3 linked regions of the Rhinolophus ferrumequinum genome follow. Each later gene encodes a partner of the first gene's protein in a complex. Links are inferred from orthologs where the notes say so. Each region holds a gene or a part of one and is shown in the gene's direction. Other genes may lie near its edges. The genes, in order: CDK2AP2, MTA3 and MTA2.

Region 1 (3,510 bases):
GGCCATTCATTTCCATTATCAGTATCAGTGTCTGGCATAAGGCCTGAGATAGAAGATGGAGTCAGAACACGTCTGTTGAATGAATGAATGACCTAGGGATGAGAAAAATCTACAGACTTGGGGGGGGCGGGGCATGAAGGGCACACAAGGCCAGAGAAGTCTGGGGAGAAGTAGCCTGGGAGAAAGGGTTAGTGTTTGGAGGAGAGTGTAAACTCTAGGGTAGTGAGGAATGAGATTTGACGGGGGGTCTGGGTGGAGAAATGGAAAGATTTTGAGACACTGGAGTGAGACAGAAAAGAATGAAATAATAAGCACTTTATGAATATTTATTTAATCCACACAACAACCCTGATAGTTATTACCGTCCCCATTTTACAGATGGAGAAACTGAGTCATATTGAGGTGAGCAACTTACCCAAGGAAAGATCGCTAGTGGGGATGGTGTGAGATTTAAACCGTCAGTCTGACTCCAGTAGGTACTCTTGTCCATGGTCCACTTGCTACAGAGCCTGGCATGCAGTATTTAATGAAGATTTGTTCTTCCTGCTACTGTCATTATGAGGCATAGGCGTGGGACCTTGGCGGAGCACGTTGAGAGGAGTCTCTGAAGTCGCCCTTGGACCTAACGCCAGCGTAGACCGGAGAACGAAACAACTTGGAGGAAGACGTGCGGCGGTGGCGTTGATGAGGTACCCGTTGCCATGGGAACAAACGCAGGCTTTAGGAAGGCGCATGCGCAGATCGGGCACAGGTTGTTGAACCGGCGAAAGGTGACGTAAAAGCGCACGGGGTGGGGCGCAGGGCTCCGAACGTCAAAGCCCGGCGTCCTCCGACATCCGGAGCAGAGGAAAGGCGCGCTGCGCAGCGGCGGCAGCAGCCCCAGCTGAACCAAGACCCAGCGACACGGAGCTGACGTGCGAAGCAGCGCGAGCGAGGCGTGAGGGCGGTGCCCGCGCCCGTGAAGACCTCCTCCGCACAAACCGCGGCGTACCAGACCCAGGTCCGGGATTCCGAGGCCCCGCCTCTCGGGCCTTGGGACTAATCGGATAGAGAGCGCGCGGGCCCTGGCCGCGAACTCGCCAATTGCGGAGGGCGTCGGCCACCGCCCAATCCGGAGCAGACAGGTGCGAGGTCCGGAAGGCGGAGACCAATCAGCAGCGGTTGCGACCTGTTGGAGTCGTTCTCTACCATTGAGGAGGCCCGAGTGACATCTTCGCTCACCAATCGGGAGTGAGGGAGCGTTTGTGCCCGCCCGCCCTTCCGGCCTTAGCTCTATTTACCAGGGGCGTGCATCCCGCCTGCCAATCAGAGCGCGGCTGAGTGGCCAGTCAGCCAACCCCGGAGGAGCGGCCGGCCGGTGTCCCCCGCGCCCAGGAGTTGGGGATGTCCTACAAACCCATCGCCCCCGCCCCCACCAGCACCCCGGGCTCCAGCACCCCTGGGCCTGGCACCCCAGTCCCTACAGGTGAGGATCCAGTTCCACCACTGCTCGCGTGCCCGGGCGTTCGAGGTCTCGAAGAGAAGATGGCCTGAGTTCTGCAGTACTGGGCCTGCCGCCTATCCTCCCTGAGCCTCACTTTGCTGGCCTGTGAAGTGGGCGTGGTCGTGTAAGGGCCTGATGGGGTGCAGGGGGAGGGGTTTGTCTCTGAAGTTGAGCAGCCTGGAATGAAGAATCTCTTTGGAAGGAATCGGGTGAATCCGGTCGGGGGCTTGGAGCGCTGGGAGGAGGCGTCCCTGTCCCGCGCTGACCTCTTAACTCGCGCATGTTGCAGCCGGAAGTGTCCCATCGCCGTCGGGCTCGGTGCCGGGAGCCGCTGCCCCTTTCAGACCACTGTTTAACGACTTTGGACCGCCCTCCATGGGCTATGTGCAGGTGAGTGGGACCTAGGGAATTGCCTATGATCGGGGACTGGAGGCCCCATGGGGCCTGAGCTCACCTCCCTGTTCTCTTTTGACATAGGCAATGAAGCCCCCCGGCGCTCAGGGTTCCCAGAGCACCTACACGGATCTGCTGTCTGTCATCGAGGAGATGGGCAAAGAGATCCGGCCCACCTATGCTGGCAGCAAGAGCGCCATGGAGCGCCTGAAGAGAGGTGAGTGACACCAGGTTCGCCCACCCCCTCATGCCACCCTGCTCCCCCAGGAAGGAAGGACATCTGGAGGCCACCTGAGCCAAACCTAGACTAGGGCCAAGATCACTATCCAGAGGTGTTGTACTGAATTGAATTGAAACTGAGTCAGTTTCCAGGGAAGGACCAGGGAATTTGTATTTAAACGGGGCAAATCTGAGGATTAGCTAAACCTCTAATCTCATCCAGCCCTTCATTTGATTATAGTCCCTCTTACTGAAAGGAATGGGGGTGGGGAGGGAGGGGTCTTCCTCTGGAGGGTGAGGGTGGGACTGTGGAGGGTCGCTGAGACCCTGTATGTTACTTCCCCATCCCCACCCTCACCCCCACCCCAGGCATCATCCATGCCCGGGCCCTAGTCAGAGAGTGCCTGGCAGAGACAGAGCGGAACGCCCGCACGTAACAGGACGCGCCTCCGCCTCCAAGTCTGGACCTTTTCCGGCCACTGCAGGTCACCTGCTTCTCCCTGGCCTTCATCCCGAGTTGCGCTTCCTGTCCTGTGTCCCTTGGTGGGTGCCCTCCAGAAACCAGGGGTGGTTCACTCCAGTCGGCAGCACTAACTGGGACCCCTGCCATAGTCAGCAGCAAGGTCACTGTGAGTCCCACCCATGACCTGCCAATGGTGTTGATCCAACTGGAACTTTCTCCTTTCTGTGGCCCTCAGCACTTACCCAGGACTTCTCACCACTTTGTCCCAGACCCCTTCTCCCCCAGTGGGGCCTCAGAAGGCCTGTCACCTCCCTGCCTTGTCTCCTGGGCCATAGCCACTCTTTTCTCAGTGTGTCTTTTGCTAAACATGCCCTTTTTGTATAAATAAAAGATAATTTGGAGTTGTTCTCTCAGCGCTTAGTCTTTCTGAGTCTGGTACTTCTACTAAGCCTGGGTGGTCTGGGAAGAAAGAGGGAAAGAGAAGACTCGAAGGGTGGGAGAGGCGGACTGGGCCTAGCCCAGCCTTGCACCCTACCCCACCACCCCTTTGTCCAGTTTACTTTGGGAGGGACCCTGCCCCTGTCGGCCATCAGCCTTCCCAGGTGTAAGTAGTATTGGAGAGTTGAGCTCCTGTAGCTGAAACCCTGCCCTCCTTCACATGGTGCCACCAGGGGGCAGCACAAGGCCTTGGCCTCGTCCACCCCTGGAGGGCAATGTCACCATCCTGGGCCTAGAGGGCTCTACCTCTGGATTAGCAGTGATGCTTGGCAGGGTGGAAATGCCAGTTCACTTAAGCCACGCCCTCACATGCCTTAATGCCCTCACATCCTAAAGTGAATCAGCCCTGGAGTCTCTGAATACACACCATCTCTGACTCTGCAGAGAGGAGAGGGCACACCGTGGCTTTCCTGCCCCCCCAGCACCTGTGAAGCAGAGCCAAAGGGGAGAGGGC
Region 2 (3,744 bases), on another chromosome or scaffold:
ATTTTATTTTATTTTTTTACTTTGCCTCAGCTAGCTAGAAAATTATTTTTTTCATCTCAATAATTTGCAATAATGGACCGTCACAAATGCCATCACCAGACAAACAAAACACAGTCTTCTTTTCTGGGGACATCTCCCATCCCTGCGCAGACCCCAAACTCAGAGTCAACAACGCATAGCTGTAAATCACCAGAAACTTCACACAATCCACCACAGTAAGGGATCATCTTCATGTTTATTATACAGCAATGCCTGGGAGTAGTTTGGAATGGATTGGCTTCTCTAAAGAAAGCTGTTTGTGCTCATGTGGGGGATAGCCAGCTACGATTCAACTCTTATTTGGTTTTTGATTTCTGTGAGGATATGAAGGATGAGAAAACAGGGATTGTCTAGAGAATTAGCATGGGAAAATAATAACTATGTAAAAGCTTTAGGCACACAACTAAGTTAACTCCAACAATCAACGGCAAGCTGATTGACACTGTCCCCTCCTTTGAGGGTGCTGGTGAAGAACTGTAGAGCTCTGCTCCCCTGTGAACAAAGGAACGCCCTCCCCCCCATCCTCTTCTCCCAGCAGGGCAGCTCTGTATACAGGGGCTGTCTAGAGGCAAGTCTTCCCGATGTGGGTTCTGTTCAGCCCAGTTTTGGGGTGAACGTTGATAGACCTGCCACTGCAGTTAGGGTGGACTTGGGAGGGAGCCAGCTTTTCTAGCCTTGTCCACAGCTGGGTCTCTGCCTGGGGAAGCTGGCAGCACCTGGTGTCCTTCTGGCCCTAGGGCCTACAAGCTCCAGGCCCGCCGCATTAACATCCGCACAAGGAAGGCGCCCTGCCGCGTGCACTTATTTGCATCCAAGTGTTTGCTTCGAGACAGGAACTCACGTGCTCGAGGTCACATTTACTGGGGCTCCCAAGGACGGAAGCAGAGGGGAAGACTGTCTAAGGGTGGGCAGGTGACAGGGTACACTGGGTGGGGCGATAGGGGCTCTGGGGAGGCTGAGCCCTTGCCCCCAGCCCAATTCTCCAATGGCCCCTCGTCTGCATTTGCGAGTGCAAGCCTCCTCCTAAGTCAGGACTCTTGCCCTAGGATCCTCTACTTTCATCAAGACCCCCCAAACCGGACCCCTCCCCAATTCCCTGCTGGCCCGGCTGCGCTCCGACCTCCCCTGGCCCGGCCCACTTGGCCTCGCTTGCCCGAGGCTGGGGGCGGGCACCTGCCCCCACCCGTCGGCGTCCCCTCCCCTTCACTTCCCCCTCCCCTCGTTCCCTCCTTCCCCTCCCCCCCGTGGCGAGGCGGCGGCGGCGGCGGAGGCGGCGGCGGACTAGGCTGAGGCGGCGGCGGCAGCAGCGGCGGCGGGCGGGGCTCGGCTCGGGCTCCGCGGGCGGGCGGGCGGACATGGCGGCCAACATGTACCGGGTCGGAGGTAGGAAGGCTCGGCCCGACCCGGCCCGTCTGGGAGCGGGTTCCGGGAATGGGGGGTCGGGGCGAGTTCACCCTAACCGCTGGGAGCCACGGGCGCCCGGACTGAGGGCGCAGGGGGTTAGGGGGCGCCGGGGCCCGCAGAGGGGGCCGGGGCTCCCCACCCTACCCCCTCCCCTTCCTCTACCCCCTCCCCCCACCGTGGCTCGCGAGGGGCCTAGGCCCACCTCCCCCACCCGCCCAGTGTTTCAGGGCCGGGCCTGTACTTGGGGGTGTGAATTATCAGACGCCCCCTCCAAGAACTCCCATGGGGGTATGGGCCGTCGAGCCCCCTAATAGGGTGGTCTCTCCTCGCGTGCCTTCTAGGCTGTAGGGGTTGGAGGGGTGGGGACATCCCCCCATCTTCTACTTCTCTTCAGTGGGGTGGGGGTGGGGGCGATGGGGGCCCAGCCGGGGTCACAGCTGGACAGGCCTGTTAGCAGGGACAGGGCCCTGCACCTCTCCTTCCTCACACCCTCCGTTTCTTGTCCTGCTCCCCAAGAATGGAGCTTAGTGGGGCCAGGGCACCGCAGCCAGAGGTGGGGAGGTGAGCTCTGCCTGGACGTTTGCTGTCCTGTCTGCCTCCTTCCCAGCCTTCTGCAGAAGAGAGAAATAAGGTCAAACAAACTTTCTCCCTACTCACGACGCCCTCCTCCCTCTTTCCTGGTAAAATAATAATTCAGATAAGTGGTGTGTTTGTGTGTGAGACTTGCTTGTGCTTCTGTGCTCATTAGCTGAACTCCTGATGGATGGTGTTGGGAATGGCCTGGCTAAATGAGGCCACTTTGCAGAAAAGAGACAGGAAAGAGCCACTAAGATAGACAATAACAATGCAGTCCAGCCTCTCAAATAAACACACAGTGGGAAATTTCCAGTGAGCCTATTAAATGAGAGGAAAAGCCACACTTGAAAATTTTTATTCTTTTTTTGTTGAAAGGCTTCAGCAATTTTTTATAACAAGACCCTAAGTGGATCTGGATTACTTATAGTAAAAGGTGATAAAAAAGACTGATCCTACCTCGGAGAGCTCTGTCTCTCAGAAAGTGACATCCACTCTTCTCCGTTTTTCCCCCTTATCGTCCTAGCTAGAGCTATGGAAAAGTTTTGTCAGTGTGCTTCCTCTTACCTGCTCTGCTCACCTGATTGTTTGTTTATTTTTTGTTTAAGTTGATTGAAATGTACTTTGGGCTGCTGGGCCTTTCAGGATGCTTGGAATTTGTCTTAGATCGATAGTTTTATGTGAGAAGCATATTCCAGGGCAAATTGGATTAGAGGGAAAAGATGTTGAAGCAGTTATAGTATGAAAGACACATGGTTTAGTCATCCCTGACTATTCAATGATGACAAGAGGTGTTGTTTTGTTTTGTTACAAAAGAAATGACATGTGTGGGACAAGAGTGTAGGAGAACTTGATAAAACATTAATTGAAATGAAAATGCAGGAATATAAGGGTCTGTGAATTTGTAGGCACATGAGAATACATTGAGGTTGCATTACTAAGTTTGCTTTTACCAGGGAATGAATTACATGCTTCATTTTGAGTGTGAATTGCCTAACATAGAAAGTCATAGATTGACAAATGTGAACTTTCTGTTGAAAAGATTAAGCTCTTTCTTTAATTACAGATTACGTGTACTTTGAGAATTCCTCCAGCAACCCGTACCTAATCAGGAGGATAGAAGAACTCAACAAGGTATACACTTGGTGTTCTTGATTCTAATATTAAAAAATAATTGTTTTCTATTGAAGGTAATTGGGTAAAGGGCATAAGAGGTGATTTTACTTTCAGTCCCAGACTCTTTGAAAGTAGAGATTTCACATTAGAGAGCTATTAGGGATTCTGAATATTCTTTTGCTTTTTCTAATTACCTCTGATATTAAATGTTATTGAACATTTAATATCTGCAGATTTCTTCAAATTGCTTAGAACCTCTCAAGAGTAAGTCACTCCTCTAACTCAGTCCCTTTTTATATATAGAGTCATAATTCGTATTTCTACCTTTTTAGTGAATTAATTTTTTCCTCCTCTAGCTTTGGAAGAAGGACACTAGGAAATAGAATGTTGAAGGGAATTTGTAAAATTCTGGGCTAGGCTAACTAATAAGAATCCGGTTTTGTACTTTAGGCCCAAGTAGCTTTGTACCTTAGGCCAAATAAAACTTTTACGTGAAGGTTTGTCCCTGATCACAGGTGTCTAGGACATCAGAAGCATTATGACTGTTTGCAGTAGATGAGCTTTCACAACAGAGGCACACGAAAACAATCAAACTACACAAACCATAGATTT
Region 3 (3,744 bases), about 3.4 Mb from region 1:
CCGGAGCGCAAGAAAGGGTACAGCTCTGGGCTGTGGGTGGAGGCGGGGAGGAGGCCGGGCTGAGGCCAGCCACTGTGCTAGGCGTGTGGCCGGACGGCTCGGATGGCACCGACATCAACTCCCTGTGCCGCTCCCACAACGAGCGCGTGGTGGCTGTGGCTGACGACTTCTGCAAAGTGCACCTCTTCCAGTACCCGTGCGCTCGCGCCAAGGTGAGGCCTCCCGGGGCCTCTGGGGCTGGGCGGGCGAGCAGGGCCCGGGGCTGCGCAGCTCCCGCAACTCGACCTTTCCCCCAACCCAGGCGCCAAGCCTTGTGTACGGCGGCCACGGCAGCCACGTGACCAGCGTTCGATTCACTCACGACGACTCGCACCTCATCTCGCTGGGTGGCAAAGACGCCAGCATCTTTCAGTGGCGAGTGCTGGGCGCCGGGGGCGCGGGGCCGGCGCTTGTTACGCCCTCTCGAACCCCCTCCCTGTCCCCCGCCTCCTCTCTGGACGTCTGATCGCTGCCAGACCGGGCCCACCAGTCCCGCGGCGTGGCCCCGCCCCACGCGACACCCCTGGACCAGGAGCCGACCCTTTCTTCGACTTGGAGACATTCCCGATCGCGCATTTCCCTGGAGGGGGACAACGGCACCCCTGCACACACTGTATAGACCCGCTGGCTGAGCCGGGCTGCCCCAGCCTGGACCCTGATTCCCGCAGCCTGCTGAGGGGCAATAAACCAAAAAGCAAAGTCGCCTCCCAGTCCTTTTGTGGGGCGCGGCTGGGCGCCTCCGGGGCCCTGTGGGGGTGGGGATTAAGGAAAAGAGAAGCGCGGAAAGGGTGAGGGAGCGTAGACCATTCATGCAAATGACAGGCAAAGCCACTTGCAAATAAGCCCGCGAAGCGCAGGCATGCGAGTCTTTCGGGGCCGCAGGAGGAGCGGCATGGCTCCCGCGAGGAGAGAGTTAAGCCCAACTCTTCTCGGCGTCGGAGGAGGGGCGGAGCTGCAACGGAAATAACCGAGCGCGGGGCCCCGGTTGGCCGGAGGGAGCCGAACTGCTTCCGGAAGTGGCCGATCTGTGGGGTCTCGCTCTCCGACCTGAGTCGAGCGCCGGGCCTTGTTCTCCCGGTCGACCGAAGGTATTCCGGAAGGAGGCGAGCCCCGAGGCGGGCAGGGTCAGCCTTCCCCGCGGCCGGCAGGGCCCGAAGTCTGGTGGGGCTCTGCGAGGGCGGGAGACTCCGGAGCCTGGCTCTGGGCCGGCGGGAGCCGAGCTCGTTCCGGAAGAAGCCGAGCGGACCGGCGCCGGCCTCGGCGTCCCCGGTGTGAGGCAGTAGCAGCGGCGGCGACAGCGCTGACCGAGATGAACCGCGACGGCTGAGGCAGCGGAGGTGCCGGCTGCGCGGGCTTGACCGAGACTTCCGCGAAGCGCCAGCCCCGCGCTCCGGGCTTCGTCTCGAGCCGAGCCCTACCCCCCCGAGCCTCCCGGACCCCTTTGTGCGGCCAGAGGCGGCGGCGGGAACGGCCATGGCGGCCAACATGTACCGGGTGGGAGGTGAGTACTGGGCGCGGGGGCTGCGGGGCCCTGGGCGAGAGCGCCTCGGCCCCCGGCGGCGTGGTTCCGAGAGTGGACCGGAACCGGAACCGGGGGCACGGGGAGCGAGGGTGCTGGGACGGCGACGCGACCCGGCGCCGAGGCTCGCGGAGAGGCTGGGGGCAGCCCCGACGGCACTCTCAGGGTTGTGTCTGGGGTCCCCCGGGTCGGGAAGCGGGGCTTGGGAAAGTGGTTCCAAAGGAGCTGACAGGCAGGCAAGGGGCGCGACGGGCCCGGGCGACCGCTTTGCCTCTTGCGGGGGAGCCACCGGGAGGTTTCTTCTCCCCAGGCGTTATGTGCGCCTCGGTTCACAAAGGAGGGGGGGCCTTGCGCTAGAGTGAACAATAATTGCTCCCTTCCCTGAGCCTAGAGTGCAACCCCATCGCTGAGGTGGTACTGCAGGGGAGCCCCCTGCTTCTTGGTTCTTTCTGAAGGCTCGCTTTTGAACGAAGGGTCTGACTTTAGAACTAGGTGGCCAGGGGTAGGGGCATCCCTTGTTTTCTCTTAGTCTCTCCACTTACACATTTCAGCGTCCTCTCTACCTGGACCCTTACCTACTTTTGGTCCTCCCAGGCCTGCTTTGGTCTCCTCCTACCCTAGTACTTTGGCTCTCCCGTCTTCTCCTGATTTTTTCGGTTATTCCTCACCGCCTCCTACAGATTACGTCTATTTTGAGAACTCCTCCAGCAATCCTTACCTGGTTAGACGGATTGAGGAGCTCAACAAGGTGAGTGGAACAGAATCCATCCGCCAACCCCGCTTCCCCAAAGTGATCTCTTTTTTCTTAGGTCTCTAACTTCAGGTGGAGGGGGAGGGTGGGGAGAGAAACCTATCCTAAGTACCTATTCATATTCATTCATTCATTCATTCATTCATTCATTCATTCAATGTATTCAGGAAAGGCTGGCTATTAGAGCTTAGTGGGAACTTTAGTGTTCTATCTCTTGTGGGCTAAAGAAAGAGATTTGGAAGTCTGTGCTTAAATGTAAGTCTCATTCCTAATTTCTGGGTGTTTTCTACATCCCTTAGAAACTTATTGTTGTTAGTCTCTTCTTTGTGCATTTTTATTTTCAAATGACCAGTTTTCACTGCCATTTTCCCCCCTCCCCCTAGACTGCAAATGGAAATGTGGAGGCAAAGGTTGTGTGCCTTTTCCGGCGAAGGGATATTTCTGGTAGCCTCAACAGCCTGGCCGATAGTAATGCCAGTGAGTGTCTTTGTACCCCCACCCTACCCTCGGCTCCCCTTCCGCCCCTTCCCGGTGAGCTGAGGCCTGGGCATGTCCCTGCAGGTGTTTCTCCTGGTTGCATGCCCTAGGTAGGGGTGTGAGCTTGGGGGTGGGAAATGCCTGTTCTGTGGAGGGAGGCCTGTTTTTAACCGTTGGATGGAAGCAGCGCGAAGAGACCATGATAAGGAGAGCCAGAATGTGTCTTGTGTGTAAGTGTGTCTAGGTGAATGGTGTGGGTAAAGAGATGATAGTATTTAAATAGGGCATGAGGAGGAGCTTTAGAGACGCAGGACCCTTGGGGGACAGTTTGGGTATGTTGGGACAATGGGTCATGGCCGAAGGTCAAGGTGAAGAGGATGAGATTGTACTTAGAAGCCTGCACAACAGGGAAGCAGGCTTATATTGTGATCACCAGGTGGTGAGACTACATTGACGGGACAGAATAGGAAGTGAGGAAAGTTTTCTTGCACTTCTTCCTCTTTCTCACCTCTCCTGTTTTCCCCTCTACTCCATTTTATATCTTTCTCTTTTCCTGTAGTCGTCTTCCTTCTCTTTATGCTTTCACGTTCTTTCAAAAAATATATCTCCTTCACTTTTCTTTAGTGTCCTGTTCCTTTCCTGCTTTGACTTTCCCCTTCTTCTTCCTCCTTCCTAAATTATTTTCCTTCTTCCTGGCTGTTGTGGGCATGAAGGGGTTAAGGAGGAGCCGGGCCTACCAAGTTCTCTGGCCCTTTGGGGTTTCCAGGCCCATCTGGCAGGGGCTGACCTTGGCCTTGTCCAATCAGAAGGGGTGTGGGGGGGTGTGGGAGGTGTGGTCCCCTCCTCTTAGCACAGGGTTTCCGGAGCACACAGGCGAGGGGTGGAGCCTGCTGGCCTCCCCCCCCCACCCCGCCCCCCCTGAGGTTGGGAACAATGCACCAATGAGCCTGGGCCTGTG

Evidence for each region.
Region 2: CDK2AP2 (region 1) and MTA3 share a complex: the UniProt entries of both Homo sapiens proteins name them as parts of the nucleosome remodeling and deacetylase (NuRD) repressor complex. The link is inferred for Rhinolophus ferrumequinum from reciprocal best matches to the Homo sapiens genes CDK2AP2 and MTA3.
Region 3: CDK2AP2 (region 1) and MTA2 share a complex: the UniProt entries of both Homo sapiens proteins name them as parts of the nucleosome remodeling and deacetylase (NuRD) repressor complex. The link is inferred for Rhinolophus ferrumequinum from reciprocal best matches to the Homo sapiens genes CDK2AP2 and MTA2.

The regions. Positions count from the first base shown.
Region 1 is NC_046294.1:4,748,023-4,751,532, forward strand, and holds CDK2AP2 (cyclin-dependent kinase 2-associated protein 2), read left to right. Parts: upstream 1-810; 5' UTR 811-1,383; coding exon 1,384-1,465; exon of another isoform or gene 1,466-1,607; intron 1,608-1,772; coding exon 1,773-1,873; intron 1,874-1,960; coding exon 1,961-2,093; intron 2,094-2,464; coding exon of another isoform or gene 2,465-2,532; exon of another isoform or gene 2,533-2,580; coding exon 2,581-2,741; 3' UTR 2,742-2,971; downstream 2,972-3,510. UniProt on the Homo sapiens protein: Acts as a component of the histone deacetylase NuRD complex which participates in the remodeling of chromatin.
Region 2 is NC_046296.1:42,203,694-42,207,437, reverse strand, and holds the start of MTA3 (metastasis-associated protein MTA3), read left to right. Parts: upstream 1-1,321; 5' UTR 1,322-1,394; coding exon 1,395-1,422; intron 1,423-3,082; coding exon 3,083-3,150; intron 3,151-3,744. UniProt on the Homo sapiens protein: Acts as a component of the histone deacetylase NuRD complex which participates in the remodeling of chromatin.
Region 3 is NC_046294.1:8,178,088-8,181,831, forward strand, and holds the start of MTA2 (metastasis-associated protein MTA2), read left to right. Parts: upstream 1-885; 5' UTR 886-1,512; coding exon 1,513-1,540; intron 1,541-2,238; coding exon 2,239-2,306; intron 2,307-2,692; coding exon 2,693-2,786; intron 2,787-3,744. Other genes in the region: EML3 (echinoderm microtubule-associated protein-like 3), read left to right, coding at 82-212, 302-505. UniProt on the Homo sapiens protein: May function as a transcriptional coregulator. Acts as a component of the histone deacetylase NuRD complex which participates in the remodeling of chromatin.